2 linked regions of the Lepisosteus oculatus genome follow. The protein of the gene in region 1 purifies or fractionates together with the protein of each later gene. This does not show direct contact. Links are inferred from orthologs where the notes say so. Each region holds a gene or a part of one and is shown in the gene's direction. Other genes may lie near its edges. The genes, in order: spag9b and RCC1 domain-containing protein 1.

Evidence for each region.
Region 2: the proteins of spag9b (region 1) and RCC1 domain-containing protein 1 purify together in Homo sapiens (affinity purification with mass spectrometry; 3 studies listed by BioGRID and IntAct, counting the BioPlex papers as one, with this or other methods). This does not show direct contact. The link is inferred for Lepisosteus oculatus from reciprocal best matches to the Homo sapiens genes SPAG9 and RCCD1.

What each region holds. Positions count from the first base shown.
Region 1 is NC_090704.1:33,786,043-33,801,163, reverse strand, and holds the start of spag9b (C-Jun-amino-terminal kinase-interacting protein 4), read left to right. Parts: upstream 1-8,540; 5' UTR 8,541-8,723; coding exon 8,724-9,023; intron 9,024-15,121. Other genes in the region: mbtd1 (MBT domain-containing protein 1), read right to left, coding at 191-279, 612-746, 1,584-1,728, 1,959-2,041, 2,526-2,640, 2,839-2,972, 3,653-3,854, 4,790-4,819. UniProt on the Homo sapiens protein: The JNK-interacting protein (JIP) group of scaffold proteins selectively mediates JNK signaling by aggregating specific components of the MAPK cascade to form a functional JNK signaling module.
Region 2 is NC_090700.1:60,924,052-60,940,237, forward strand, and holds RCC1 domain-containing protein 1, read left to right. Parts: upstream 1-8,903; 5' UTR 8,904-9,126; coding exon 9,127-9,352; intron 9,353-9,831; coding exon 9,832-10,020; intron 10,021-10,313; coding exon 10,314-10,467; intron 10,468-11,183; coding exon 11,184-11,305; intron 11,306-11,458; coding exon 11,459-11,566; intron 11,567-12,815; coding exon 12,816-12,962; intron 12,963-13,264; coding exon 13,265-13,294; intron 13,295-13,598; coding exon 13,599-13,756; 3' UTR 13,757-14,158; downstream 14,159-16,186. Other genes in the region: unc45a (protein unc-45 homolog A), read left to right, coding at 1-52, 636-776, 924-1,051, 1,240-1,306, 1,861-1,974, 2,271-2,386, 3,310-3,427, 3,849-4,004 and 1 more; calcium and integrin-binding protein 1, read right to left, coding at 14,568-14,589, 15,202-15,290, 15,655-15,773, 16,162-16,186. UniProt on the Homo sapiens protein: Plays a role in transcriptional repression of satellite repeats, possibly by regulating H3K36 methylation levels in centromeric regions together with KDM8.

The sequences.
Region 1 (15,121 bases):
AGTTTGTGTATGTCTGTGGTGACATGAACTGGTGCCTCATTCAGGGTGTACCCCTCCTTGAGCCTCTTGCTTACCGGGATAGGCTTCATCTCCCCTGAGACCATACATAGGGAGAAAGACTTGGAAAATGGATGGGTGGAGTTATCAGGCAGGAGAGCAATATGCAAAATGACAGAGAGGGGATACGCACCTTTGCAGAGAAGTCCGGGGGAAGCGTTTTAGCACCAGTGAGCCGCTTTACAAGAAATGCTTTCCAGTTGGTGCATTTATGCTGGATAGCTACAGAAAAACAGAGGGGGACAGTTGCCAGAGACACCATTAAGTAAACCCTCAATATAAATTGCCCATAAACGCAATGATTATTTTAATAAAAATTACACATGCAGAATATAGTCAGAAAGGCAGTTAAGCAGCTAGATGGATAAACAGAAAGTAAAATACAGTAACTCAAACATTAACATACACAGAATAATATACAAGCTGACAGATAGGGTGTCTACACTGGAGGATTAATTATACTGGAAATAATTAGATTTAAAAAAATAAGTTATGTATTAGCTGCTGAAAATTATTTTTCTGATAAACACTTGGGATTGGCACAGTTCACTTACATTTGGGAGGTACGAGGGGCTTGCCACTGGTAGCACACCAACCCACTGGGTGCACATCGGGAACACAGAGGTTACACCAGAAGTCTCGGCTGGAGTCGTTGTCAAAGCCCTCGTACCGCAGCAGTGCCTTGAAGCCTACACACAGAACAGATCGGGCATTACTACCTTGCTGTGATGTCTCATCAAATCTCAGGAGGTCAGAAAGGCTGGGCCTAGTAAGAATCACAATGGGAGATGCCTGCGAGAAACCAGGTTACTGTTGCAAGTGGTGATGGGAGATTTGTAGGGGGCACTGGACCATGGACACTGCCTCATGGAGGTGCAGTACTTCAGATGAGTCTGAAGCATTTATAATACTTAGTAGGAAGAGAGTATTGATGCATAGCTCATGGGATTCAAGTGATTCTGTATTTATAATCAGAGCCCTATGTGTACTTTCACAGCAGACAGGCCCTTTTATATGGTATTTAGTTTGTTTCATCACTGGAAGATAAAACAAATATAGTTTGCACGTAAAATAATGAAAAGCTCAGACTTTTCAAATAGATCAGACAGGTCCAATTAACAGAGATTTATAGGGCTGCTACTAAGCCGGGCAAGACTCCCTATGCTCAGATGTAGGTTTGGTCAAAATGTGGGCTGTTTAACCAGAAAAATTCAATATTAAAATACTATAGTATTTTTTATAGTGTAATACCTTGAGTAAGGTATCATGAATATCATGAGTAAGGTGAGGTCTGTGCTTTGCTGCAACAATGACTATGCTGCAACAATGACTATGCTGCATGATATGGCACAATTTAAACAATTAATCATTTGCTACCTGATGATCATAAATTGCAAGGCCTTCAACTGCACCACTCAGAAGATTTTTTAATGAGAAACAATTAAGTATTATCTCTGAAGTTTTCAACAAAGAGTTGCCTCTCCTTTTTCTTCTCACTACCTGAGTAGCTCTGGTTCTGGTTATACCTGCTAATTTGACGATTCCCGCGATCCAGTAGACCTTTCCTGGCAGATTGCTATCTGTGTTAGGAACTTCTACTCTTACTCCTTCCGAGATGTCACCCCAGGACCTTCCCATTGGTACCTGGTTTACAAATTTAAAACAGGAAAACTACTTTTCATAGGATGATAAAAAAAACATTCATCAATCTTAATTCCACTAAATCCCCAAATCTTGGCAGTAAATTAATGGAATGCTCTGCACCTGCAATATTCTGAACATTTCACCATTTTGAAAGGAGAGAAGCATTTGTCTGAAATAAAATTAATATGGAAAAAAAACATAACTCCTATTTGTAAAAGCACAATAACAAACAGTGTAGTAGTTTTAATTCTACTTACGTGCTTAAAGCAGCTAACAGGTGCCGCAACAGAGTTATTGCTGCTGATGTAACGACCCCAATCAAACCCCTCCACAGGAACCACTGAAAAGGGCAAGACAAGGACAGAAAGATAAAATATATTCAGTTTATCACTGCTTCAGGTGACTTATTACCAACAGTGCTAATATCCACTCCAGCACCCAATTCCCTAAATATCTTTAATGCATTTTCAAGAAATTGAATCTTTTTGTGTTTTTATAAGAGTCCCACTCAGAAATGGCAAGCTTAAACGGCATTCATTTTCCAAAAGGCAGTGCCCTCTGTGTGCTATGCTTATATTCATCAACCATGTGCTTCCTTTCAGCTACTTCTGGGAGCACTAATAAGAGAGTAATGATCTAGTAATACCACGCACCTACACTATGTACATTACAGAATGCAAAATTCAAATTTCTGCATCAAGGAAGGTGTCATTTATTCTTAGATTCACACATGTAGTAAAATGTAGTAAATGCTAACCACTCTGTGAATATACAAACTCTTACTAGTTAAATAGTCACAGTTACAGGACTTCACTGTCCCTCACCTGTTTTTGATTTAGCTTGGTTTTGTTGGTTTGCCTGGTACTGGGCATATGCTGCTAACTTGGCCATTAGAGGTTGTTTTTGTAAGACTTTTGCCTTTTTTGTAGGTGGTTTACCCTGCAAATAAAAAATATCCAATATTCAATGTTATTAACATATAAAGACATTAATATGTACATTATTTGTAGATTACAATCTTATAAAAGTGAATACAGCTGCTGTTCGTCTGGCTGGTGACTCTAACCTAGGTCTTTTTGCTAACACAAGCACCAAAACAGCTTTCTTTGGGGTCACGTGTAAAATAAAGAACATTACCTGGAGCCTAGCCAGAATGCTGGCCTTCTTTGAGTTAGAGGAATAACTTCTGGAACAAGAGACGCTGCAGAATCGCTTGGTTTTGGAATAAAAGGCATCTCTGACTCCCACCATTCCACACATCTCACAGGTAGCTGAAAGAACAGGCAATTGTGGGTTACATCACACTTACAAGTGGTGGGAACAGTGAGAAACCTTTTAATTGTGCAAACATCCCTGCACGATCCCAGACTGTCGCTGGAAACATTTTTTTCTCAATTTACTCATTAATGTCATGCAGAAAAAAAAAAACAGAACACACCCGATATAATTCAACACAAGCAAATACTGTTAAAATCTGCACAGCTTACTCTGTCATGTGACTTTCCTTTAAACTTGCCTTTTTCTAGTTCTGTTTAGTGATGATGACTCTTCCCAGAGCCCTTGTAACTCACATTTCAGTCTACGGATTACCAGTTGATATATATGTACAGTATATAGCTATGCATTTATTTACACCAGCTATTGAAAGATGTTCTTTTCAACAGAACAGAGAATGAAAGAATGTAAAATAATCACAACTATGATATTTTAAATATAGATAATAAAGCTAAAAAATATTGAAAGAGCAATGAGTAAGTTTGGCCTCTAGTAAAGACAGAATGACTTAACTGCATTTTAAATGGTGGTATGGCGCTATAAAACAAACACCAAACACTCTGTGTGCTGGTGGTATGGCGCTATAAAATAAACACCAAACACTCTGTGTGCTATGCCTTTAATTTGGGTAATTAGACTTGTGTTGTGAGAGGGCAGCGTGAACTTGTGGACTGACCCATGCCAGCTTTGCCATCTGGGTAGGTGTACACCTGCCCATTGTTCTTGATGATGGGCAGGTTGGCAGGTATGGAGGCGACCTCCTCCTCGCTCTCCTCCGAGCTAGAGCTGCTGCTGGTGTCCTCACTGCAGCTGTCATACCCATCATACATCCCGAAGGAGTCCCGCCTCTTCCTGTCTGACCGAGGAGTGTGTTCAGTCTGGGTGAACAAAGACAGGCATTGAAGAGCGCTGGCTGCAGACCTGGCATTTCCTATTGCCTTGGCCTTATGGGTTACAATCAGAAACACAGCAGGCATATTAACCAGCCTGAAAACCAATGTGCACTTAGTGTATTCAGATTAAAAATCTACACCAAAGCTACTGTATGCTGCCTATTTTTCTTTATTTTAAGAGCATGATTCCAGATTGCAAAAACACCTTTCTCAAAATACCAAAGTTTCTATAGTTTCTTTTAAACAAAACTTAACACATGGTGCATTTTAAAGTATAAGAACATGCGAACAGCTGCAAATTCAGCTGCTTCTTGAAGCAGCTCAGACTCTCAGACTCTGGATCTCAACACAGGCCTAGCTAGAATGCTTCTTAAAGGCCCCAACAGCTCTTTGTGTAAAGACATGTTTTCTACTCCCCAATCTAAATGATTGCTCCTTTAGTTTCTAAATGTGATCTATGTTTTATTACAGTCATAATAATTTATTTTCATTACAGAGTCGTAAGTAGTCCTATAAGTTGACCCAATATAAAAACCTCAGAGGCAGATATATTGGATGATATTATCATCCAGGTGGGTGCTGCACATTGGAGGTGGTGGAGGGGAGTCCCCATTACCTGTAAGGTGCTTTTACTGGAGTGTCCAGAAAAGCGCTATATAAATGTAAGTAATTATTATTAATATTAGGATCAAGCCTACTTTATCTAAACTAAACAGACTATGTTCCTTTAACCTGTCTATTAAAATATGTTAAAAAGGAAATAACTTTAGAAAAAAATTATGAGTAATGAAACCACATGTAATGTCATTACACTGTAACCAAAGTTGAATTATATAGATTTTTATTTTTAATTAGTCCACACTAGCGTATTGTCCAGCTTCCCTTGTTTTAAATTTCTCAGGTTTTGCTACATACAGTACCTTGGCATTTTGGTGTCTTGATGAGAACATAGAAGAATCTAGACATCCAGGTCCCTCTCATGAGTAGCAGTTCAGAATCTGCAATGGGGCATGCCTAGAGCATGTTTCTTTTTCCTGAATTGATCCCTTTGCTCTTAACATTACATTTTATTTGGCACACCTCGTATTTTGGAAAGGAGAACATGTTGTGTCAGTATTCAGTTTAGCTGTACAGTGCAAAATCCACTATCTGCTGGAGCTTACTACTGTGACAACTTAATCAATATTTAAAAGATGTTTCTTAGCCTGCATATAAGAAAGTTTATTTTAATGGTATAATGGGTGGCAGCTTTGAACAGTATTCTAAGCACAGAAGAGACTTATTTGATAAATATGATGAACTCCCAAAACAGAATCTCGCTGTTCCAATAAATGCTACTCAAAGACCCAAGATAATAAGAACAGAACTTAAAAAAAACCTTGCAAACATTTTTACAATTATTTCTTCCACTTATTACCATCCAATATTTCCAACTTTCAATGGTAGTGGAAACTTACTACACCCGAAATACACCTAGAAAATCTTTGTATAGGATATGTATTACTGGTCAGTGAGCACCTTACACATAGAAAAACAAATATTTATGGAAATGAAATTTCAATGATCGCTATTCGATTTCATATGCATTTCACAGGATGCAATACATTCTACGGCCGCAAACGACAGTTGTAAGTATTTCAATAAGCTTAACTACTCCAACTGCAGTACACTACGAGTTAAAGGTGACAATAAAAAGATATACCGAGTTTTCGCAAATATTTAAACAAGTCATTTAAAACTTGGTATCATAACATTTCCGGGCTCTAATTTGTAAACATGGCTACGATTTTGAACTCCGGCAGAAATGCTTAAAAATCTCAAGGCAGAGCGAAACTGCTGTGTGACACGGTAACAGCAGAATGGTAACCCGCAACGCTGGTCTACAGAGCAATAAGCAGCTATTTCTCAGCATTTATTTCTTCGGAACTCTAACACCTAGTAACAAGGTGTGTTCGCTGGGGTTTTTATCTGTAATATCAGAAAAACACGTATTTTGAAGGATTTACCCGTTACATACACGAATGACATGGAAGTCTACGTACCAAGTATTTCAAAAAAACAAGGAAGCATTATCTGTGTGTGTGCTTTGAATGCTACTACCACTGCAGTCGTGACGGGCCTGCACGCCTTTTCCACTTCGTCCTGCAAACTAGCGTCTCTGCAATGTGTTTCAGCTAATTCTCGGGTGCTTCACAATCGTTAAAGCCCCGGCAATCCGTCAGCCGAACCTTTGGAAACCTGATTGTTTTACCTAGGCGAATCTGGAGGCCCCTTTTTTCTACTGCTGTTTCTGCTGCAGGCTGACAATCACAACAAAGGAAGAGAAAAACAGGCTTGTTGCACTCCAAAGCACCACGCTCGATCTCCCCGCTCAACTCACCAAATCCCTGGCGTTTTCCATCAGCCCCTCATGCAATGCCGTTTTGTTTTGTGTGTGCAGTTGTAAAATTCCCGAGAAGGAGAAATAGAACAGAAAATCAAACTAAAACCCAAAATATTGAACTCCAGCTGAATATCAACAAAATTATCATATCTGCAGAGCGCAGGCGCAGGGTAAACCCCCTGGTTGCCATTGGTCGGAACGAGGAAATGGTAATCGACACAGTCCTTACACGGAGGATTTTGGCCCCTGGAGGCCACCGTACTACCTGAGGGGGGGAGTCTGTTATCGTTGCTTCAATGGAGCGCACCTGTTCTGCAGGCACCCAAAGACATATCACGAGTTGAACGGAATTATGACACTTCTGTTTTTTATTTGACATCCTTCAAAGAGCTATTGTATCCAAACGAATGAAGCTAGATAGACCTCAGGCAGTTTTTTCACTTGCACTGAACAAAAGCCCACTGATGTTACGAATTGACCCAGCTAAAAGAAATCGTACAACATCTGGGGCGCACCTGCTCGGTACATGAGGAGCGATCGAAAGAAGAGAAGACTCCGACACAGTTTTAAGAAAGCAGAGACCTTGTGATGGAGGCAGTGAATTTACACATGCACGCCGTATACGCTGTATCCCGTATGTGGGGTTCATAGCTTTTGCGTTAAACATTTGAAAACCTAATGTTTATGGTTCGCTCCCAAAACTAAAATGACCTGATTTATTCACACGCAACGTACGAGTTATGTGTGTGTTGTACATTTTGAAATCGTAACACTGTTTTTCAAGATACATACATTTCTTTAGTTCTCTCATCCTGAGTCGATCACGAATTTACAATACCATTCACCCCATTTTACTGTTAAGTCCCGCTTACCAAAGAGGGCAACAGATTTTCCAAAGAGGAATTCTGACATGGGAACATTGGTTTTAAATGTGCACACATTTATTTCAACCAGCTTTTTTACCTTGCAACTTCCAATACAACACGAACTCTTATAACATACTACATATACTTCAACCGTGAAAGTAGAAATACAGCTGCTACTGCACCATTAAATACATACGTTATCAGTAACAAGAACAATAATTAAGCTCGGAACTTTCGACATTTTGCGGCGCACAAAAACGTACCTTTCTAAGCCAACAGATTGCTTTATCGTTCGGTCCAACTAGAGGTCGATTAACTTCTGCTTTGATAGGGACACCTCTGTGTAAACCACTTCTGTGTGCGCGTTTTAATTGAAGACTGAGAGCTGTGTCTTTTCAGCACTTTGTAAAACAGCAGGAGTGTCAGGAAAACATATTTCAAGAGCTTGCTATTGGGATAGTTTGACATATTAAAACAGAACCATGGTAAATTAAAATGTCTGTTTTTTATATAATTTTGTTTTGGTCGTGGTAATACCAACGTCGCAAGGAACAAGTATGAGCTGGTTAAACGAGCAGCAACATTTGAGACCCAGCAGAGGGCGCTGTTTTGTAACATCAAATCAGACTCAGCTTTACCTATAGCAGGTGAGTTGTTAAACGTCTTATGTGCCAGGTAGACGGCACTCTATAAAAATATTTCTTTTTAAAATGCAATGTATTAAATATGATATTGCACATGTTCGTTGGGCATGACATACCAACTTTCAACAATTCAAAAACAAGCACTAACCGCATGTGTAGCACCATATACAGATTCACAAACCTGAACTAAATTAAACATTTTGGCGTCAGATTCCACCTTGTTCTAATATTTAATAATCCAACAGACTTCCTCACTTTCTGCTTTCGATAATATACCACCTCCATTCATCTGAGGGATATATTCTAATCAGAAGTGCAGACATTCGATAAGTTCTTTACTAGTTTAATTAGTTCCTCCAGTGGGTTCTAAATTGGCTATTTCTTTTGAGTTTTACTTATGTTTGTCTTAAAACACATAATGCAAGACTTACCTAGTTAAAAACGAACAAGTCGAATGGTTCAGTGCATTTGAATAAATAAAAACGAATACAGTACTTGGAAGACAATGAAGAAGTGAACGCACAAAAAGATAATTCGATACACTCTGTTCTGTTTGAATATTTCAAAAATATTAATTTCACGACTCGTGCAAAATGAAACTACTAATTAATTAAAGACACCCAGGCGTAATCTTTAAAGAAACGAAAATTGCAGCGCAATATTCCAGCCCTTCCACTCGCAAATCCCAGCCCCGGTTTTAGAATGTGACGTCATCACGTGACGGTCTGGTCAACAACTCAGCTGCACAGGGAGCTGGAGGAGCGGCAGCCAAATAAAACACAAGACATCGCTCCCTTAAAGGGAGGGACTGCAACTTGCCCGGATTCTTTTATTTTTTTATTATTTTTTAATTTTTTTTTAAAGAAGTCCGGCATCTACACAACGTTGAGGAGCAGATAAATTCGTACAAGATAGCAAGAGGTGGAGGGCTGCACCGCATCGGAAAGAGAGAGAGAAGAAAATGGAGTTAGAGGACGGAGTTGTATACCAGGACGACCCGGGGACGGCGGCAATGATGTCGGAGCGGGTGTCGGGCCTGGCCAGCTCCATCTACCGCGAGTTCGAGAGGCTCATCGGCAAGTACGACGAGGACGTGGTGAAGGAGCTGATGCCGCTGGTGGTGGCCGTGCTGGAGAACCTGGACTCCGTCTTCGCCGAGAATCAGGAGCACGAAGTGGAGCTGGAGCTGCTGAAGGAGGACAACGAGCAGCTGATCACTCAGTACGAGAGGGAGAAGGCGCTGAGGAAGCACGCCGAGGAGGTGAGGGGGATTGAGCCGGGAGAAGGGGCGGGGGGTGATCTGTCCCCGCTAGGCCGTTGGCATTATTCATCATATTCCTGCACCGACCCTGTGCCAACCGCCAGCCGCCTCTGGGCCACACACGGTGTACAACACCCCAGGCGTTACCGTGCGCGCATCATGGCATGAGCGATCTGCACTGCACGGTGCGTCCAGAGACCCAGCTAACTGTTACCCTTCTTCCTTAATCCCTTAATCATCGTGCCGTGGCATCGCCCGATTGCATTTTCCTTCTGTCAGCTGCCATAATTCATAATTCAGCTGCCATTAAGTCACAACCCAGCCCACCCCGAAAAAGTAAGTTCGGACGTGCCTTGGGTTTTCCAGAAAACAACTGCACTGCCGTTCTGAGTAAAGACGCTTCACATTCCGCAGGTTGTGGCCGTCGTGCCGAGCCCCTTCGCAGGCAGTTCCTGTGCCCCTGTATAGGTGGTGGCAGAAGCATCGGATTGTTGAACCGGTGACGGGGAGAGTTGACAAGGTTGCGCGCACATTTGCCTTCTTAGGGACCTCCTCGTAGGTTTGGAGGTTGTTGGTTTAGCTGCGGGACTAGATCGTTATTCGTTTATCCGTTTCCGAAGAGAGAGTGGCCTGCTATTTTTAAAGCACAGAGGAAGAAATGGAGAGGGAGGTGCTGTAGTGTATTTTCCTGTAGTAAAATTCCTGGATATACTTATCCATTTTGCATCCCTTTATCTGTCAAGTTCAGCGAGTGCTTTGAAGGTACAAGCTGGCAGTCATTCACAAACGGATCCCACAGGTGTGCTGGTGTATCAAGCACTTGAGTGGTTCCTCTATCATTATTTTGTAAGAACTGAGATTAGGCACTATTGGGGTACTGAGGTTTCTTGTTTTTTTAATTATATTACTTTCCTTTTAATTTCATCATAGAAATCCATAACATCCTTTCCCCTAGTCTGCATTTATTGTTGTTTGCTTAACATGGACCATAAGTGTCGAAGATAAAGTATGTGCACATGAGTTGTCATGACACTAAAAGTTTCAAGTTTAATGTTTTATTTATGATATTGTGTGAAGAGCAGTACATTTAATTTGGTTAAAAATAAGCAATTATTCAGTGTTTTAAGTTTAGACTTAGTCTTTAATGAATGATTTCATGCTATGAAATGGTTTGAGATACTCTGTCAGGATTTGGGTGTTCACATTGAAATATATAGTGAGTTGTGTAGAAAAAGGGAATGATTTTTAGATTTCTACCCGTGTTAAATGATTTTGTTCCAGTGTTATTTGTACAGTTTTTCTAATGGGAATATTTTGCTAATGCCAGCGGGTTTGTGGATCTGAATTGCAGGTTTGGCAATTCACAGGAACTTATTTTCAGAAATATTCACCCTGCATGACCATTTGCTAAGAGTCCCCTTGTATTTGTGCAAACTATTTGATTTGACATCAATCATTCTTCATATCACTGATGCGGAAAAATGCAGTACTTGTGCCATTTAACAGTGGCAAGGGCTGTTCTGAAGAGCCCCTACCTGAACTGAGTCACTTGCGTGCACCAGCCTAATCTAACTAGCCTATTTTTATCTTCAAGCTATGAAGTTAAGGTGGTGTATCCATAATCAACGAATCTGGAAAAAAACTATTTTAATGAAGAAGTAAATTGCTAAAGGGAAACGACTTGTACAATGAAGACGTCAGTGGCAGTGAGACAACAGATCTCAGAAGCTAATCAAGTTAGAACCAGGTTACTACTGGACTGGGTGAACTCTAAGGAAAGCCAGGTTTGCTGTTGTACAGATGGATCAGTAATTTGCTCTCTTCCCACTGGAACAAAATGTCACCATGCTGGGACATTGGTTTGGACAGCTCTTAGTGCTATAGGCAGGGCCTTCCTTCAGAAGAGATATTAACTCAAGGTCCTGACTACAGTAAATAGGCATTACAATATCACATGGCACTGCTCATAAGACCCGAGTGTGACCTGGTTAATGTCTCTGGAGTTGCACAATTTGCCATCCTTAATTTCTCTCTGAATTCAATTGATTACCAGTTTCTCTATTCTGCACCTTATCTGCTCTATAGTGGGGTTACTGATGGAGAATTTTGCACTTGGGTATTTTAGGATTGCCTTTATCACAGCCCGTATGAGAATCTGTCGCTGTATTCCCTGTTTAATCCTTCATGAATGCTGTAGAACCGTATGGCTGTGCAGTGCAACTCTGTGGATGTCAGCCCTTGCCAGCTCAACTAAATCTCAAAAGCCACAATCACAGCCACCCCACAGCTTCTTCTGTACTCAGATATGATGCATAATGGCAGTAGCAGCAGAAACTTGCATACACAGTTCTGTATTTTGATTACTAACAAACAACATTACCTAGGAGAATGGGAATCATTTCATGTTTCATGCACTTGTCATTTTTAGACCAATCAGAGGCAGATGGGAGATCTTGTGCTTATTGGTTGCCCTGTGGGAACCAGCCCTCCATCTGAATCAAGGCAGTTAGTTTCCAGCCTGTACTGGTTTTGGCTTTGCTACAAGTGGCACATGGGCTTTAGTAATCACAGTAGTGCAAATGCCCTGGATTGGTTTTCTCTTTTGCATTTTATATAGGTTTTATGTCCTAGGAAGTGAAAGTGCATGTTATTCTGAGAATGTTAGAAGAAAGAAAGTCTGTAATTCCCACCAATTAAGCCTTGGGAGCTTTAAGAGCTTGGTCACCCCTGTCTAGGCTCATTATGGAGCAGTGCAGTTTCTCAGAGCTCCTAGTACACGTTGAAATTGTTTAAGCATCTGTGTCCATAGGTGCTGATGTATTATTATGCTATGCAAGGAAGTGGTGCTTTGCTGAGTGGATCCCTGGATGAGGAGAAGACTGTCGTTGACAGACGGGGCATCTCCTTTCACATTGCTTTCCAGGGATGGGGATAGTGAAGCCAAGCTGTCAGAGTTCATACTGTGAAGTCAAGCAGGTATTCAGTAAGCTGCAGAAATCCAGGTTATGTGGCATGTTGAGGTTTACCTGTATGTGCAGTGCTTGGCTAGATTCATACACCCCAGTGTATCTCTCCGGAGAGATGCTGTGTGGGGCTTTGCACTGTCCTGAAGGTTTGGCTTTAGGATACATTTCATATTATTTAACAGCCTGAATCAATGTGGAGCCCCCATATCTTAAAATAAGGCATAAATAAAAAGGACAGAGAACATTTTTGACACTAGGTCTTCTGTACATTTAATTAGATTATAATACAGACTGAATCCTTTGCTCAGGGAGCTGTTAGCTTTTTTTTTCAGTTATTGAGCAAATATGTTGTCTAATTTGACAGGTTTAGAGTTCTGTGACATTGAATAAGCATTAATTGATGCAAAAGATGCCCTTTTCCGGAAGAAAATGCTTGATTAACCTTATGCTATAGTTTTAGCAGAATACGAACACTGCATCCTGATAAAGCTGGTAGGTACTATTTTTGGTGGACTGAATAGTTTTGGATTGAGATGACAGTTTGATTCATTACTTCCTTCAATAGTCCGCTCATACTTTCCATAATTTCATCTGCCCAGTGTATCCCTTGTGCCTCAAGCCTGGTATGAAGCACAAATTCTGACTAAATTAAGAAAGAAGCTTTATGATTTTGGCAGCAGTTATTAGTACAGCATGGAGCAATTATTTGCTTATTCCTGGGGTAGGGCTGGACTAAGGCTGTGACCTCCACAGTTATAGAACCAAGATGTGACAGACTACGTGGACTCCTGAACACAGCGAGAAGAGTCCCTGATCAAATACTTTGCTTTTTAGCTTGCATGGTGGTTTTCATGATATCACACAATTTCTTGATGACGAATACCCAAACTCAGAAATCAAAATTAAAGCTCTGTCCAGTTAGTCCCTTTATAACCCCCTCCCAGCAAATGCAGAAACCAAGAAATCAATTAGCGTAGTCAAATAATCGACATGCATCCTTATTAATAATGCTCGTTGATGTCCGAGCCTTTCTGGCAAGTGATGAGCTTTATTTTATGTGTTCTGATCTGGACATAAATGGACACTAGTGGTGCAATCACTTAGTGTAATTAGGTTCACCAATTCAGCAGTTTTCATTCCTGGCCTGATTAAATTTTAACCGGACACTTAGAACAAACCTGATCAGGCTCCTTCATGTGGGTATGTGTGGTTTTACAGCTGCAGGCATCGCTGCTGGGGAAAAAAAAAGATTGTCGGAGCATTTCAATTACATTTATAAAACTGCAAAGATAAGCAAATGGCAAAACTTAAATGACATCCACTCATCTGCATGTCAGAAAGCAGTGAGTTCTGACATTTTCACTAACCTGCTAGGAATGCTTTTGGCATTGTCTTTTTTACCTGAAATGCTCTTGTTGCATATGTATGTTTCTTTTTTAACTTGGTTAAAATTGGGGGAAAAAGACCTTGAGGATTTGGATGTGATGTATTTTAAAATATTTCTTCTTCTGCCATATTTGTTTTGTCTAGTTTGCAGAAATTGCTTACTAAAGTTATCAAAGTAGAAAATGTGGGCTTGGAGGGCTAAAACAAACATCTTAACACAAATAGTTGTTAGGGTCTGGAACAAACTGTCTTGCAGTGCTATCTTTCCGAGTTGTTTCCCTGGTATCTTTCGTGAAACGGCAAGAAAAAAATCCTCAGATCAATATGTTACAGGCAACGGAATGAGCGAAATGGGCCATGCAGCCCTTGTTTCACATGTACAACTCTGACAACCTTTCCAGCAAAAGTAGCTTCCAGAAAAATGGGGGAAAAAAAATCAATTTAAAATAACTCATTAATTGAGAATAGTGTTTCCCCACTGCGGTTTATGTGTCTAAGTGGCATTATGGCTCAGCTCAAAGTTCAGGTGTAGCTGCTGCAAACTCAAAGAGATAAGCTTTGCAAAGCAGTTGTGCTGCAGCAGGCTGTAAAGTGTCTTCACAAATGGCTAGGCCTCTTGGTTCTGTGTTGTTGCCTTGACAACACGTGATGAGTGTCTCAGTATTGTGGTTTCGGTGTCCAGTTCTTGAGGCCGTTTTGCCTTGCTTTGTGACTGTGCTCCCCCTCTCTGGTGATGTTAAAACATGAGATGATGATGTAATTGTTCAGTGACACATCACCACTATCTTCCCAGCCAGCAGACAGCTGGAGAGAGCTGCCAGCTACACAGTTACACTTAGTCATTTTCTTGGATTGTTTCTGCTGAGTTGGAAGGCTATGATGTTTATTCACAATGCTGATCTGCTTTTCTTCTTGGCATAAACTGGTTAGGAAGTGATTTTGGACACACCCAAGTTAACCTCTTCCCTTGTATCCACTACAGTTATTATACATGCGTTGTAATCACTGTCATATGGGTTTTAAAGTTACATGGACAGCCTAAGAAGAAGACAGTGTTTTTCAGTTCACTTTAAATTGTTCAGTAACAGTACTCAGTCTCTTTTTTGGTTTGTTTTACTTTCTCATAAACGAAACATAAGAGGATGGTTAGTAATTAAGCTTCAGGTCTGCTTTCCTTTACAGGCCTCTTAGTGTGTAATAAGAAATATTTTCAGAAGAAAGAAATATTGGTACCTAGAAGATCAAATCAATTATTGTTTTTCCACTCAGGGCAGGGGGGAGAAAACATACTTTTTAGTTAAAAGATGGCAGTATTTTATGCATACAGAAAAAAAATGCACAAAGCTTCTACCATTTGGTAAATTGATTATGAAAGAATAATGTAAGTGATTATTTGCTGTGAAAGAGTTAGAGGCTGCCGGTGGTATTCAGACAAGGACATGTCTCTAAACTGAACTTTTTACCATCAAATTGGCTTTATTTCTGCCCCAAAACCTGGGGATTTATATCTGAATTTCTAGACTGCAATTACAGAATGCTATAAACAATAAGATTTTTTTTTCTTTCAGTGCTAATTAATATGCAAGGTGTGCTTTTATGAACATGTATCTTGAGAGGCACTTTTTAATGGTGATGTGTTTCAGCGAAACGTTTTCAGTGAAATATATTTCTGTCAGCCTCTTCAGCATTGATAGTTCAACCTAATGCGCGGGTTACAGTTTAGGACCAAAGTGCTGTATTGGAAAT
Region 2 (16,186 bases), on another chromosome or scaffold:
GGATTTGGCAGAGGACAGGCAGGCTCTGCAGGCCATGTTCCAGCTGGCAAAGGTACCCCTGCTGGGGTGCGGTGAGGGCACATCAAGCCAATTTAAGTAGATGCCTCTGTGCCAAGAGGCATTGGCAGTGATGTGTAGAGGAGATGGACTATTTCTGTTCCCCTGGGAATAATTGTGTGAAGACTTGGACTCATACATCAGCATGTGCCAATCCTGAATACCATTTCAAGTTTTCCAGCCCATTGTTGCTCTTTTTCATACTGCTTGTCAGTATTATGTACACTATAAGTCAAATGCAAAATAGCTAACCTGTAGCTGCCACACAGTGCCTTTTTTCTGTAATAGGAACATCTGCATGAAGTGACTAAAAAAAAAAGTGATTCTGTGAACTGCTGGTCTCTCTTGGGAGGGTTAAGGTTTGTCAGCTCACTGACTTAGGAACTATGCCATTGACTGACTTAAGAAGTATTAGGAACTTATTTTTAATTCAAATTGTTTGGGATGTCAGACATTGCCCAGGGTCTGTTGTTTCAGATACAGTGTTGAACTCATGAGACCAGGTGGTTTTTAGACCTAGGCTCTGTTCCATTCCTAAATGGCAATGTTGTTTTGTCTTTGATCTTCTCTGCCTGCAGTCTGAAGATAAGACGGTGCTCTTTGCTGTGGGCTCCACGCTGGTCAACTGCACTAACAGCTATGATGTCGAGAAGCCTGACCCCCAGCTGGTGGAGCTGGCAAAGTATGCCAAGCAGCACGTTCCTGAGGAGCACCCGAAGGTAATTGGAAGCATCCCCAGTTATGAAGAGCTGCTGCTCTTTTTGTCATTCAACTGCTAGATTTGCATTCCTTTGTGAAATGTAGTGCTTATGTGTACTGAACTGTATGTTCTTCCTGCTGCTGTCTCACACGTTTGTGTGTTTCAGGACGCCCAGGCTTTCGTGCAGAAGCGCCTGTCCAAGTTCCTGGAGGCCGGGGTGGTGTCGGCTCTAGTGTGCATGGTCAAGCAGGAGAGTCCTGCCCTGACCGAGTCGTGCAGGGAGTGCGTTTCCAGGTGAGCTCTGATCCGTACTCAGTACCCTTCTGTCCAGTGCTGGAGACTCTTCTTCTGTCCTGCTTGGGGCTTGCATCGTTCTTCCGTGCTCAAGTGTCTTCTCTCCATTTTCCTTTGATGACCGTGACCCTCTTCCTCCGACCAGCGGCTCTGAGTGACACATTTCTGTGGTTTGTCTCCGTCTGCAGGGTGTTCCTGGCTCTGGTGGAGAGGCAGGAGGACAGAGGCACAGTAGTGGCTCAGGGGGGTGGGAAGGTGAGGTTTTCTGGCTCGTGATTGAACCCGACTGTGGTGGTGGTGCGATTCCGATTCACGTACGTCTCCTGTGTTTGAAGTCTCACTTTAGCATATATCATTCTAGTCAGTAGAGATTGCAAATTAACTTTTTCCATTATCCTGAAATTCCTGTTTTTGTTTAATATCTGTCCAGTGTGGAATTTGTGTGTTTGTGCCAGTTGTGTGTTTTCATGGCTTGGCTACTGTTTTTTGACAATTTTGTTGGGACAGAATAGAGTTCTGGCCGACATATCCCAACACTGCCCCCTTGTGGTGCTGAGCCTATTGTGCTCCCCTTCTTGGAGCCCTCCGCAAATTCAAATCAAACAGCAAGGTCTGGATCATGGAGCTTAACCACACCAGGGCAGAACGCCTTTACCAACTGAGTGTCACTACTTTTAATTCCCGGTATCAGAACATGAGAGTCGGGGCAACTCGTCTTGTTTGAAGCTTGTCACATTTGTCAGTGCAGTGCCCGTCTTTTGGTTGCCGTTTAAGGCGTTCTTGCCTCACTTCGATTTCCTATTTTCTAGGCCCTGATCCCCTTGGCAACAGAAGGCACGGATGTAGGGAAAACCAAGGCAGCACAGGCCCTGGCGAAGATTGCCATTACGTCTAACCCTGAAATTGCCTTCCCTGGAGAGCGGGTGAGGCCTGAAACTTGATATGTGATGAAGACCTCCTTTTTATACCTTTCCAGTTTCAATTATCCACTTGAATCGAGGTGGTATGCCCTATTTGATGCGAAGGGACTGAATCCTGACAGTCCACTCTATTATGTGCAATGCAGCTGCATCTGGTGCAGTGTGATGAAGCTTTTGCTGGTTTGTAGGTGTGTGACATCTGATCACTTCCGATGCCCATCGTGTTGTCCTGGGTGTTTGTGTGTGAAGTGTGGGGTAAATGCGCTGGACTGATCTGCGACACTGTTTCTTGGCTACAGATCTATGAGGTGGTGCGACCGCTGGTGAGCCTGTTGGCCCTGGATCGCACTTTGCTGCAGAACTTTGAAGCCCTCATGGCGCTCACCAACCTAGCAGGCATCAGCGAGAGGCTCAGGTCAGTCGAGACATGCGAGGAGTTAAGATGCTAATGTCTGCAGTATAATAGACGCTAATGGGGGCTGCAGTGATGTTGAGAGAAAGCTCCTTTCCCCAGAGCCTGAACCTGCCTCTCAGCCTTTTAAATGGCACTGCTCGCTTAGATTGTCTCCCCAATTGCATGACAACAGACGTTTTCCTGGCCTGCATCAGTGCGGAATGAGTCGTTTTATTTATTTGTTCATTTAGCAGCCATATCACCCTGCAACTCACAACTGGCAGCCCACTGAAGCTAAGCAGGTGTGAGCCTGGTCAGTACCTGGATAAGAGACCTCCTGGGAAAATCTAAGGTTGCTGCTGGAAGAGGTGTTAGTGGGGCCAGCAGGGGGCGCTCACCCTGCGGTCCACGTGGGTCCTAATGCCCCAGTATAGTGACGGGGACACTATAGTGTAAACAGGCGCCGTCCTTCGGATGAGACGTAAAACCGAGGTCCTGACTTCCTGTGGTCATTAAAAATCCCAGGGCGTTTCTCGAAAAGAGTAGGGGTGTAACCCCGGTGTCCTGGCCAAATTTCCCATTGGCCCTTACCATTCATGGCCTCCTAATAATCCCCATCTATGAATTGGCCTACTCTGTTCTCCTCCCCACTAATAGCTTGTGTGTGGTGAGTGTTCTGGCGCACTATGGCTGCTGTCACATCATCCAGGTGGGGCTGCACATTGGTGGTGGTGGAGGGGATCCCCATTACCTGTACAGCACTTTGAGTGGAGTGTCCAGAAAAAGCGCTATATAAGTGTAAGCTATTATTATTATTATTCTTCTTTAATTAACAAGGATCTGACTAGATCGTTATCTGGTGTGAACGATCACGCTCTCCTGAGTGGGCCCACTGTGTAGAGGTAATTGTGAGTTTGAGGGACTGTGTGTGTATGGGCCCGCAGGCAGAAGATCATCAAGGAGAAAGCTGTGCCGAAAATTGAAGGGTACATGTTCGAGGAGCACGAGTTGGTCCGCGCAGCAGCCACTGAGTGCATGTGTAACCTGGTCCTGAGCACGGAGGTGAGAGGCTTTCTGCAGGAACATCGTTCATTATTACGAATTCCTTTTCAGTGTTTCTACCGAGTGGATTGGGAAACGACAAAGCTTAACCTTTTCAAATAATGATAATCCTGTTGTTGTTGTTTCCGAGTTAGAAATCGGTACAGTGGGAAATGTGAAAACTGACAGGTAAGTGAGGGCCGAAACTCGTATCAGGACACGTAGTAGTGAGGATTGATGTTTAGTTTGTGAAACTGAGTCTGGGTTGTTTTAGTACTGTATAAGGTGAGAGTAAGGGATAAGAGATTAGGATTTGGGCACAGCTGGGGCTTGGCCAGTTAGGTTCGGGCCTGTGATTTGTATTGAGAGCTTGACTGAGCACAGAATCTTTGCAGAGGAGCAGTCTGCTCTGGTCTCAGAGAGCGCCTGTGGTGTTTCTCAGGTTCAGGAGCTTTTCGTCGCCACGGGAAGCGACCGTCTGAAGCTGCTGGTGCTGTACAGTGGGGAAGACGATGAGAGGCTGAGGAAGGCTGCGGCAGGCACCCTGGCAATGCTGACATCTGTGCAGCCGCAGCTCTGCGCCCGTGTCCCCGCCACAGTAAGCATGGCTTCAAAATCACAGATGAGCTCAGAAGCAAGTGTGTCTGTGTGGCCCATGTTACAGATCCTAGCTTCTGCTAATTCTATGCTTATTGAAACAACAATTGATTTGGTGCTAACTGCGATAACAGAAGCTGCTTTGAAAGCAGTGTGGAGTATGTGACCCCTTAACCCCTGACCTTTGCCCTGTGGCGGCCTCTCTCCCTGCAGACCACCCATTGGCTGGAGATCCTGCAGGCGCTGTTGCTGAGCGACACCGTGGAGCTGCAGCACCGAGGCGCTGCCCTCGTGCTCAACCTGATGCAGGCTGAGCGGACCCTGGCCGAGACACTCATGGAGAGCGAGGTGCTGGAGATCCTGACCGTCCTGGCCAAGGGGGACATCGCAACACAGAGCCCCGCTGCCAAGACTGCCAAGCAGTGTCTGGATGTGGCAGTGGAGTATGGCATTATCAGAAGTCTTGGGAGCGAGGGCACCAGCGAGGAGCTGCTGGCCTAGTCGGGCTCCGAGTGCCTTTCACTCCCTCTGATCATGCTGAGGAAATGGTGCTGTGGGACTGCACTCATCGAAGAAGAAGGTTGTTTTCCAGTCGTGTAATTTAGAGGGAATTAGGCTGTAACAGGGACACTAGCCTTGGAATTCACTCTTTTGTCTAGGCACTTCCTCTGTCTTCTTCAGACATCCACTTGGCACTACATGGGTTTTAAACAAACATGCCCGTCATCCGATCGCTATGAAGTAGGATTATGTCTTCCTTGACACTTTAAACAAGGGATCAGAACACAGACACTGTAAATCTGCTCCTTTTTTTGTGGCTGTAGACTTCAGGAATGGGACCAAAGATTGCCTTCTGTTGTCTTAATTTTCTGAATTATTATCCAAATCTGTCTAATTATTCTATTTTATTGCCCACTGCCCAAGGGTTATCTGTGTTGTTGAACTATTTTTACTGTTTTTTTGTCCCCAAAAGAACATTCATTAAAACTGATCTGCTCCACACATCCTAAAAACATTTAACTCTTTATTCACACAAAAAAAACACTTAATTGGAGGAAAAAAGGATAAAAAATGTAATTTACATCCACTTTCATTGCCTACTGTATGTTGTCAGATTTTTATACTTTTCTGATTAGATTTTTTATTTTGTAGAGACATCAGAATACAGTATTTCACTGCATGATTGTGTGGTTGTCTCCAGGTGTTTATCCACAGACCTTACATTTCCTGAACATTTTTTTCAGTCATGCTTTAGATAAGAACACAACACCAGATGTCCTTTAACTGAGTTTTGTACTTACAGGGAACTTGAAGGAATATGCTTTGAATGACGTCTGTGAACCAGATGTTTGTGAAAGAAACTTCTTGTCCTTTATCTATGGCAACATTCCTGTGTGTGTGTTGAAAACAGAAAAAAAAACAGAAAGAAGCAATAAGATATACTATGTTCTACATATACCAGTTTTTAAATATCTTTGTTTATGAAGGTTTTGTTATTTTTTTAATTTGTTTTTAAAAAGTAATTTGTCTTAAGAATCCATCTTATTTTCACGCTTAAATAAACACTATATTCCATATGCAGAGTGTGCAGATGTATCATGGACAGTTTTTTCAGGAGAACTACACTTCAGTGCAGAGTCTAACATGGAGCTGGTGTTGATGTTATGATCACAGGAGAAGTGGAGGCAATTCAATCCTCTGTATGTTAAAGTATATGACATGCTGTAGATATAGGTGAAATATTATTTGCTGTAAAGAAATGAACATTATGTTTGGATTGTTACACAAAAATGAGACACTAAGAAGTGGTCTTCAAATATAAGTTTAATAAGGATGTTAAAACAGAATTCATTTGCATTTGCACTACAGTATACAATTATTATTTTGTAGTAATCATCATCAGAGTACAAAAAGGGCAGCATCAGCACATAAACTTTGGAAAGTATCTGTTTTTTTCCCAAAATGACATTTTCTTCTCCCTTTTTTTGACAGTAGTGGTACTGTCAAAGTCTGAAATGAAACGTGTGATTACACATTGGTATAACTGGCTTTGGGATTGTTTTGGGAATCGCCAGCACAATCGCCATGTTTTAAATACTGAATACAAGCCAGTATTGTCCTTTCTCCTCAGACTGAGGGTGACAGGGTCATGGTCTGGGAGCAGATCATTTCCAAAAGGTGGAGAAACAGTTGTTGACAAGCAGTTACAGTATCTGTACATGCTGTATAAGACAACAGCAATAATAACTCCTTACACTTGTGTAGCGCTTTTCTAGACACTCCACTCAAAGCACTGTACAGGTAATGGGGATCCTCTCCACCACCACCAGTGTGCAGCCCCACCTGGATGAAGTGATGGCAGCCATAGTGCGCCAGAACACTCCCCACACACCAGCTCTCAGTGGGGAGGAAAACAGGGCGATGAAGCCAGTTCATAGATGGGGATTATTAGGAGGCCATGATTGGTAAAGGTTAGGGGGAAATTTGGCCAGGATACTGGGGTTAACACCCTTACTGTTTAAAAAAAAACCTGGAATTTTTAATGACCACGGAGAGTCAGGATCCTCGTTTTAAATCTCATTTGACAGAGAGCTCCTTTTTTACAGTATAGTGTCCCTGTCACTATACTGGGGCATTAGAACCTACATGGACCACAGAGTGAGCGCCCCCTCCTGGCCCCACTAACACCTCTTCCAGCAGAGACCTTAGTTTTCCCAGGAGGTCTCCCATTTGAGTGTGTGTGGATACATATATACGCACACACTGTCCTTTTTAATACTGTATAGTAAAACCTCAGTATTTGCTAGGGTTATGTACCTTGAAGTCTTCGTGAAGGGCGAATTTGCGAATTCTGGACGTATGGTGAAAATAGGGTATGATTCTGAGGCTCGTGAAACAAGCATTTCTGGAATAATATTATTAAAACAACTTTTAACTGTTTCAGAAATAGCGTTAGTAATTATTGGTAATGAAAATGAGTACTGCAAACTTAAAAATGCAGTTTTCCATCTATAATTCAAGTTATTGCATGTGCAAATAAAATAATGTGGTGTCTCTTGTTTGTATTCGTTTTTATACTTAGTAGAGTGCATTTTCTTTACTTTTTCCATTGCTATTATGTCTATTATAAATGCAGTGCTACTGTACTTTAATAGTTTACTGTACTTTATTCCACCAAAATAATAACAGACAAGAAAGTTCATTAAGGGTATTCACTCCCTTCCCTCTCAACTAACTCCTATTCTTGCCTCACACCTGAAGAAGGCTTCACAGCCGAAACGTTGTTTTCTTTCTTCCTTTTTTTCAGCAAGGAATAAACCTTTACTTGTTCCTTTGCAGCCTACGCATGCTGACGCAGCTCCCCACCTAACATAGTATGTGTCCACCGAGGTATTTGTTATGTAACACTTCTTTAATTTGGCAGCACACCACCGAGTTACATACAGGCATTACTCTGATAACAGATCTGCATACAATGCACATCTAATGCTTTCTTGAAGGAAGCTGAACACATGCACACCCCATGATGCACTGCTACCCAAACATGCCAACTCTGTGATAACCAGGCAGTGCCTTTACCGCAGAGTGATGCAGGATGTGTGAAGTAGGTCTGCAGGAAGATGAGCAAGTGGGTGCTTGCATTTACTCTCCTACTGCGCAGTTCATTAAAAGGGGATGTGGTCTGAGAATGTGGAAAAAGTGGTCACTAATACCTTTCACCTCATTGTTGAAAACACAAATCCAGAATTTGCGAATATTGAGGTTTTACTGTATTTCTTATTAAAGTTCTTTTTCACTAATTAATTAGATAGCTGCGGGCACTTGACCCAGCTATCTGGACAGATGCTGAAATTATCTAGAAATCAGCAGGAACATGCAGTGAGGTGGCCAGGCGTTATGCTGGTGATGTAGTGTTGGAAATTGTGCATGATGCATGCTGGTATTTATGTTTTCAAGGATAATAAAAGTCCACTCTGAGGGTACAAGAGAGAACATGTTTTAGGAATAAACTAAATAATTAATTAGTCTCTCCCCTCTGTTGTATTGTGCTGTATTGTAAGGCCCTTAACCCCAGGAGCTCCAGGAGCTCCGTATGAATGGCTGACCCTACGCTCTGACCCCAAGCTTCTCTCCCTGTCTGTGTGTCTGTGTGTCTCATGGAGAGCAAGCTGGGGTATGTGAAAAGACAAATTCCTAATGCAAGAAATTGTATATGGCCAATAAAGTGATCTGACCTGATCTTATCTTATCACTATACTGGGGCATTAGGACTCACACAGAACGCAGGGTGAGCGCCCCCCACTGGCCTCACTAACACCTCATCCAGCAGCAACCTTAGTTTTCCCAGGAGGTCTCCCATTCAGGTACTGGCCAGGCTCACACCTGCTTCAGCTGGTTTCTAATTGTGAATTGCAGGGTGATATAACTGCTGATATATATATATAAATAATACATTATTTTGCAAGGTGTAATGATTATTAATTGCTAATAGGATGTTTTGGAATGTGCTGCTTGCAAACCTGGTTATGCAGATCCACAGAAACTTCTTTATTTATTGGTGTAATTATTCATTAGTAGGCATTTTTATGCTAATAGTGTATCGCAGCATCTAAGTGTTAAACTGATATGCAGTTGACACTTAAATTGTGTACAATAACATCAATAATATCTTAAATCTAACATGGGCAATAAAGCACGGGATTATGTTTTTGGAAGTTTGGAATTTGGGAAATTTTCATGCGTTGAATGTATCATCCTCGTGAACAAAGTAATTCGCGGGTGTTTCATACCCTCTGGCTAGGTGGCGCTGTCAGAGGAATGAAGACTATATGAGGGTGCAGACGCTCTTGGTGAGTCAACGCTCCTCGGTTGTTTTGAATTATTTTGAATACTCCTGCGCAGTACCCCTCGAAAAGCAGCGGGGCTATGCAGACTAACTACGGTGCTTGGTTTTGGTGACGCTCTTTCTGACTTCTCGTACAGTAGATGCAGAATTCGTGCAGGCTTCCGTGATTGTAGTGTTGTAAAAGCTTACTTGCTACTAAGTTGTCTGTTAGCAGTGAGAAGTAAATCCTGTATTTGACGAAGGTGCATTGTTATCCGTTTGCAAATATTTATTTTTAATGCCTTGGTTTGGGTTCGGATTTAATGTCTTTGGACAGATAACACCTCTTCCATCGCAGTTAAGCAAGACAGAAGAAACCGTGCCCAGTGGGGGTGTGAGAGTCCTGGTCCCAACCAGGCTCAGTTGCTGTGGCAGTCATGAAGAGACGCCTGTCGAGAGACAAGAGGAACGCTGTCCTCAGGTCCGAGCGAGCTGGAGCAGAAGAGCTGTGCTCCATCGGAGAGGTATAAGATAGGATGCAAGTCTTAAATACCTCGCACAATCGAAGGAAAACTGGAGACTTTACTTCTTGTATTTACATGCAGAATTCTTATCGTGCGAGGGTCTACATTGGCGTGCAGGAACGTGTCATTTGTTCGAGGTTATTGTGAAATTTTAAAGGATTTGTATAATGTGTCAGCTGAAATAAAGAGTTTTGGCACTTATAATTACATAGATGTATGCACCTACTGATTTTTTATTTTTAAGAAGAAAGAAAATGGTTTTCTGAAGTCCATCCTTAAATAACAACTAACAACCAACTGCACCTACAAAAATACTACACCTATATCCAAAATAAGCTCGCAATCATTCATCTACAGTATGTCCTAACATCTCTAAGAAATGGCACTGAAACATGCTTTCCAAAATAGCCTTGTTATGGCTGTGCATCAGTTGCAAAGTCAGACTTTTTCTTTTAATTCGAAAGCCTGGTTTGTTCCAGGTGATGGACCCGTCTGTCTGTCAGGCTTTGGAACAGGTCCTCCCAGCTTTGTGTCAAGAACAAAGGGTTGCCTGGATGCCCTTGTGAGTGAGAGGTTGTTGACGCTGGCTTTCGCAGACAGAGTGGAATGCTGGGACATGGAGGGCAAGACTATCTGGAAGATGGAGTGCTCCAGTCCGGATACTGTAGGTAGTTCTTTCAGCTTTGTGTCTGGAAGTAACAGTGTTCAGTTAACATATTGTGAGCCAACTAATGTTTTTTGAAAGAGGATTCATTCAGGAATTAAAAATTTCACCCAAACTCCTGTAACAATGCTGTTATATGTTAATATTAGTCTGATGCTGTTTTTTGCTGCTCAGTGGAAAAAAGAGTTTTGGTTTTTCCTTTCTTGCTGAAGAATGATTTCTTAAATGGAGATTAAATTACTTTCACAGTTTCTTTCACATAGATGTTAAAATGTCTCTTTTTCTGTTTTGCTTCAGCTTTGCCACTGGTTCCTGGAGGCTATGTAGCTGCAGATGTCCCTTTCTATCGCCCCTTGTCTCCACAGCTCTGTGCTCATAAGCTGGCTCTGGGCACTGAGCACGCGGTGCTGCTGACTGCCGCTGGAGCTGTGTACACCTGGGGCTCTGGGAGGTGAGAGCAGGACGTGCAGGCACAGATGGCCACTTTGGTTAATCATTGATCAGAAACTGCGTTGCTACCAGTCACATTGATCCAGGAACATCATTACCCACTAATGGCAGCGATGTGCATCAGTATGATGTCTTAAAACACACAGGTTTTCAGTTATTTAGTCCCCCTGTGATCTTAATTAAGTAATTGAAATACTTATTTGAAAAGAATCAGTCAGATCGCCTGTTTTTTTCTGGTTTTAATTGGTGTGCTGGTTGAGCAGTACTAATTAAACGTGCAGGATTGTGGCCTTTGAGGATGGGTGCTGCCCACCCCTGCTTAAACAGATTAATAATAATAATTGCTTACACTTATATAGCTCTTTTCTGGACACTCCACTCAAAGCTCTTTACAGGTAATGGGGATCCCCTCCACTCCCACCAGTGTGCAGCTCCACCTGGATGATGCAACGGCAGCCATAGTGCGCCAGAACGCTCCCCACACACCAGCTGTCAGTGGGGAGGAGAACAGAGTGATGGAGCCAGTTCAGTGATGGGGATTATTAGGAGGCCACGATTGGTAGGGGCCAATGGGAAATTTGGCCAGGACGTCGGGATTACTCCCCTACTCCTTTCGAGAAACACCCTGGGATTTTTAATGACCACCACAGCTTGAAAAGCTCTTCCGTCTTCCCGATATCAGGCTGCCCTGACCCGGCTGCTTTGTTGTGTTTGCAGCCATGGCCAGCTGGGGCACGGGGGGCTGGACAGCCAGGCCGAGCCTCAGGTTGTGGAGGCGCTGTGGGGTCTCTCCATGAGGGACGTGGCCGCAGGGGGCTGGCACTCAGCCTGCATCAGTGGTAAGGGCCGTGCCCGTGCGCCCAGTTTCTCAAGGACCACTTGTGCGGGAGAAGGCAGCTGTCGCCGTGCGAGGGGGGGGTCTGGGTGTTAGGGAGCAGTGTGCGGTTTTCCCTCAGTGACCTGTCGGTCTTCTCTGTTTCTTCCCTGAGCAGCAGGGGGAGACCTGTATGTGTGGGGCTGGAATGACAGAGGCCAGCTGGGGCTCCCCTCTCGCGGCCTGAGAGCAGAGCAGCAGCAGCGAAGCAGTGGAGCAGGTGGGAGTAAGGCCCCTCGAACTCAGACCAACTGACCCTGATAGAGCATCTGTAGAGTGGTCTTTATATACTTAACTAGGCTGTTGAGGGTTGGGGAAAAAAACATGAGTGTGTGTGTATACATATATATGCACACACTGTCCTTATTAATACTGTATAGTAAAACCTCAGTATTCGCTAGGGTTAGGTACCTTGAAGTCTTCCTGAAGGGCGAATTTCCAAATTCTGGACTTATGGGGAACGTAGGGTATGATTCTGAGGCTCGTGAAACAAGCATTTCTAGAATAATATTTTTAAAACAACTTTTAACTGTTTCAGAAATAGCGTTAGTAATTATTGGTAATGAAAATTACCAATAATTACTGAAAACTTAAAAATGCAGTTTTCCCTCTATAATTCAAGTTATTGTATGTGCATTCTGTACTTTAATAGTTTACTGTACTTTATTCCACCAAAATAATAACAGACAAAAAAGTTCATTAAGTGTATTCACTCCCTTCCCACTCAACTAACTCCTATTCTTGCCTCACACCTGAAGAAGGCTCCACGGCCGAAACGTTGTTTTCTTTCTTCCTTTTTTTCAGCAAGGAATAAACCTTTACTTGTTCCTTTGCAGCCTACGCATGCTGACGCAGCTCCCCACCTAACATAGTATGTGTCCACAGAGGTATTTGTTATGTAACACTTCTTTAATTTGGCAGCACACCACCGAGTTACATACAGGCATTACTCTGATAACAGATCTGCATACAATGCACATCTAATGCTTTCTTGAAGGAAGCTGAACACATGCACACCCCATGATGCACTGCTACCCAAACATGCCAACTCTGTGATAACCAGGCAGTGCCTTTACCGCAGAGTGATGCAGGATGTGTGAAGTAGGTCTGCAGGAAGATGAGCAAGTGGGTGCTTGCATTTAATCTCCTACTGCCCAGTTCATTAACAGGGGGATTTGGTCTGAGAATGTGGAAAAAGTGGTCACTAATACTTTTCACCTAATTGTTGAAAACACAAATCCAGAATGTGCGAATATTGAGGTTTTACTGTATTTCTTATTAAAGTTCTTTTTCACTAATTAATTAGATAGCTGCGGGCACTTGACCCACTTATCTGGACAGATGCTGAAATTATCTAGAAATCAGCAGGAACATGCAGTGAGGTGGCCAGGCGTTATGCTGGTGATGCAGTGTTGGAAATTGTGCATGATGCATGCTGGTTTTTGTATTTGTAAAATTGATGCCTTTTAATACAGCAGGAAGTGGTGGGATGATGAGAGAGCAGGATGCGAACAGTGATGTCTTCATCTCAATCCAGGCGTTCCCTGCCCTGGTGGACCTGCCTCAGGGGTCAGAGGTCACCAGAGCTAGTTGTGGGTCACGCCACACAGCAGCAGTTGCATGTAGGTAACAAAAATGTCTCTTTCCCAGTGTACGCAGTTTTCACTGTGATGCTTGGTAGACATGTTGAAATTAACATAAGACAGTTAGCATTAAATAAATGTTTAACAATTTCAATATTTTCAGATTATGCAAATTCATAATGTATCTGTGTTTTATTACTGTGACATTAAGGTTAAAACCATTTATTTTCTTCAAAGTAATTTAATGAGGATTAATGATGTTTTTCACCTGCAGTAATTTGTATCAATAAAGACCTTATGACTTGTGTAAATAAAATGTAAATCATTGTTTTATGGTTTAGGTACTGGTGATCTCTACACATGGGGCTGGGGTAAGTTTAATAGCGTTGCCAAACCAGCTGTTTTATCACTTATTCTATTGAGCATGATTGGGCTTGCAGTTATCATGGCATTTTAGACAAAGGTGCATTATTCCCTGTAAACGTTTTGAAGTCCCCAGATATGAAGAATCCATTTAGTATTTGTTTTCAAGGATAATAAAAGTCCACTCTAGGGTACAAGAGAGAACAGGTTTTAGTAAATAATTAACTTAATAAAATTAATTTAAACTAAATAATTAACTAGTCTCTCCCCTCTGTTGTATTATGCTGTATTGTAAGGCTCTTGGTGTTGCAGGTGATTATGGACAGCTCGGCCAGGCAACTCCACACAGTTCAGACCAGCCTGCCCGTGTGGACTACTTCACTGAACAGAGCCTGCGGGTGGTGGATGTGGTGTGTGGGCCCTGGAACACCTTTGTCTATACAGAAGAGAAAAAAGCCATGCTCTTGTGATGTACAGTAAGCTCCATCCCACAAGCCCGCTGTTTCTGGATTTTTATTCAGCTCTTCAGCCTAGGAAAATAGCAGATGTTGATGCAGTAGTTTTAACACTCTGAAGCTGTGTCTACTGCTCTGCGATGTAACAGTGATGCTTTGTTCCATTGTTACATAGCTTTTGAATCATGAATATTGAAGAGAAAACTTAGGAACCTTAGAAATAATGACTTTATTTTGAATATTTGCTTAATGACAGGAATAGGTCACCATGTAAGTCTAAGTCTATGAAATAAAATACAGAACTAGGAAACTTGACCTTTGCCTCCTACTTGGATGTGAAAGATATTTACAAGAGTGTGGAGTGTTCTAATCACCATTAATTTTCCATGGACAATTAATAAAGATTTGTAGACTTTCTGGAGTGTCTTGTTTTAAAACTAAACTTTAATTTACCCAGTATTGAGTTGTGTAGGTGCATTTGTACAGTGAGAACACAATTTTGTTGAGAGAAAAATCTTGTTTTTACTTGTTAATCTTGCAAACACATTGCACACATAAGAAGAAAATGTTTTATTGCACGAGAGAGTATTAAGATCATATATAAAATAGATAACAGCATTTTCACAGTAGAACTACATTCATCTACAAAATGTTAAGGTTCTAAAAAATATTAAAACAATGTATTATAATTTAAGGCACAAGATGGAGCTCCATTGTATAAAAAGTTAAAATTTGCAGTTTGAAATGCTGGCATCCTGCCTGTCAGGAAGAGGACCATGAGACGGCTTGCTTGCAGTGGCTCCGACTCTTTCACAGGGCAGCCAGCTCACAGGATAATCCTAAATGAGCTTCAGAAATACAAGAGGTCTGTTAGCCATACTGCCTCATCCAACCAGCCAGTGCCAGAAAAGCCTCATTGCTGGTAAGGGGTACAGCAGCCAAGAGCCTATGCTGGAGGCACAGAGCTAAAAGAGGGTGACTGTAGGTTGGGCATACACACATTTTAGAAATGCCAGTTAACCTAGGAAACTGGAGCACCTGGCAGAAACCCACATGAAAACAGGGAGGATGTCCCACTTCATAGGTTGGAATCACACCCAGGAGCTGTTAGGAAGCAGCACCAACTGCCAACGCTGTCAGTCAGTTCATTCTGCAATTCCACTGGTTTATTTTTTACCTTAGTCTAAGTCATAACTTCTTTTTGGCTAATACAAGATAATAGGTATATATATTTTAGCCATGAGTGATTTTAATTCATGGAAATGTGTAGATATAATTTTTTGAAAGTGTTCTCTTCTAAAGTAAAAAAGTATTTTGTATTTAATATTTTTCCCATATACCATCTATTTTTCCTGAATTAATTTACTCCACAAACATTTTACCATGTGCATCCAATGTTGACTTTCACCATGAAGTAATGTAGCTCTGAAGATTCAAATTAGGTGTTTAAAATCTCTTACCCAACAAAATCAGGCGATCTTGAGATGACATGCTGGAATTCTGAGAGATTCACAGTTCCATCTTTGTCAATATCGGACTCCTCGAGGATCTAAGGTTTGTTTAAAATTAGTTAACGTGTTGAACACTAACTTCACATTGTTAGTAATGCATTCTACAATATGGTTTCTTTAATTCATTCACTTTCAGTCTGTCCTGTTCAGCGTCATGGCATTTACAATCTGGTTTTACCATTTATCAGTACTGTAACATTTTGCTTGTTTGCCTTCTCTCTCAGTACAATGAATGTAAAACACCCTCACCAAAGTGCCATCAAAATGTATTTCTACAATTTCATTTACAACTATATAGTTCAATAGAACAGAATTTGGGAAGAGAGTGTATTAATCTGATTTCAGAGAAAGTCTGTTAAACGGGCTGAGTGAGAGGCAAAGCTGCACTTTCTGTCAACTTACATTGGAAATAAGCTGTCTCATCTCCTCTGCGCTCAGACGAGTCTCATCTGTGTCTCCAGTCAGGCAGTTCACCAGCTTCTCTAGGTCAGCCCGATCCAGAGTCCCATCATCGTCGAAGTCTGATCCATAAAAAAAACACAGAGAAAAAGATTAACAGTGTCTTGAATCTTGCAGCGAGTTTTAAAAGAATCTGATTGTCCCTGCTCAACAACACGGTTTAGTATTCCTGTTGGGAGAATAAAAATAAAGATATAAATGCTACTTTACTTTCTGTAGTAAAAGTCGTTTACCTAGTAGACTTTAGATATACATTTCTGTGCCAACTATTCTTACCTTTCTTAGGGCTCCACTAAATGCTCTATTAAATTGCAATTTGACCAAACTGCAATACTTTTGCACTTTTGATCTTCACAATTGGGAAAAAAAAGCTTTGACTTCAGCTGTTCAGAGCTTTAAGTCTTAATATACCTTTGATTTAATATACCAGCATTTACTAAAAGCTTTTACCAAAAATCCGGAAGGCATAGTGTGA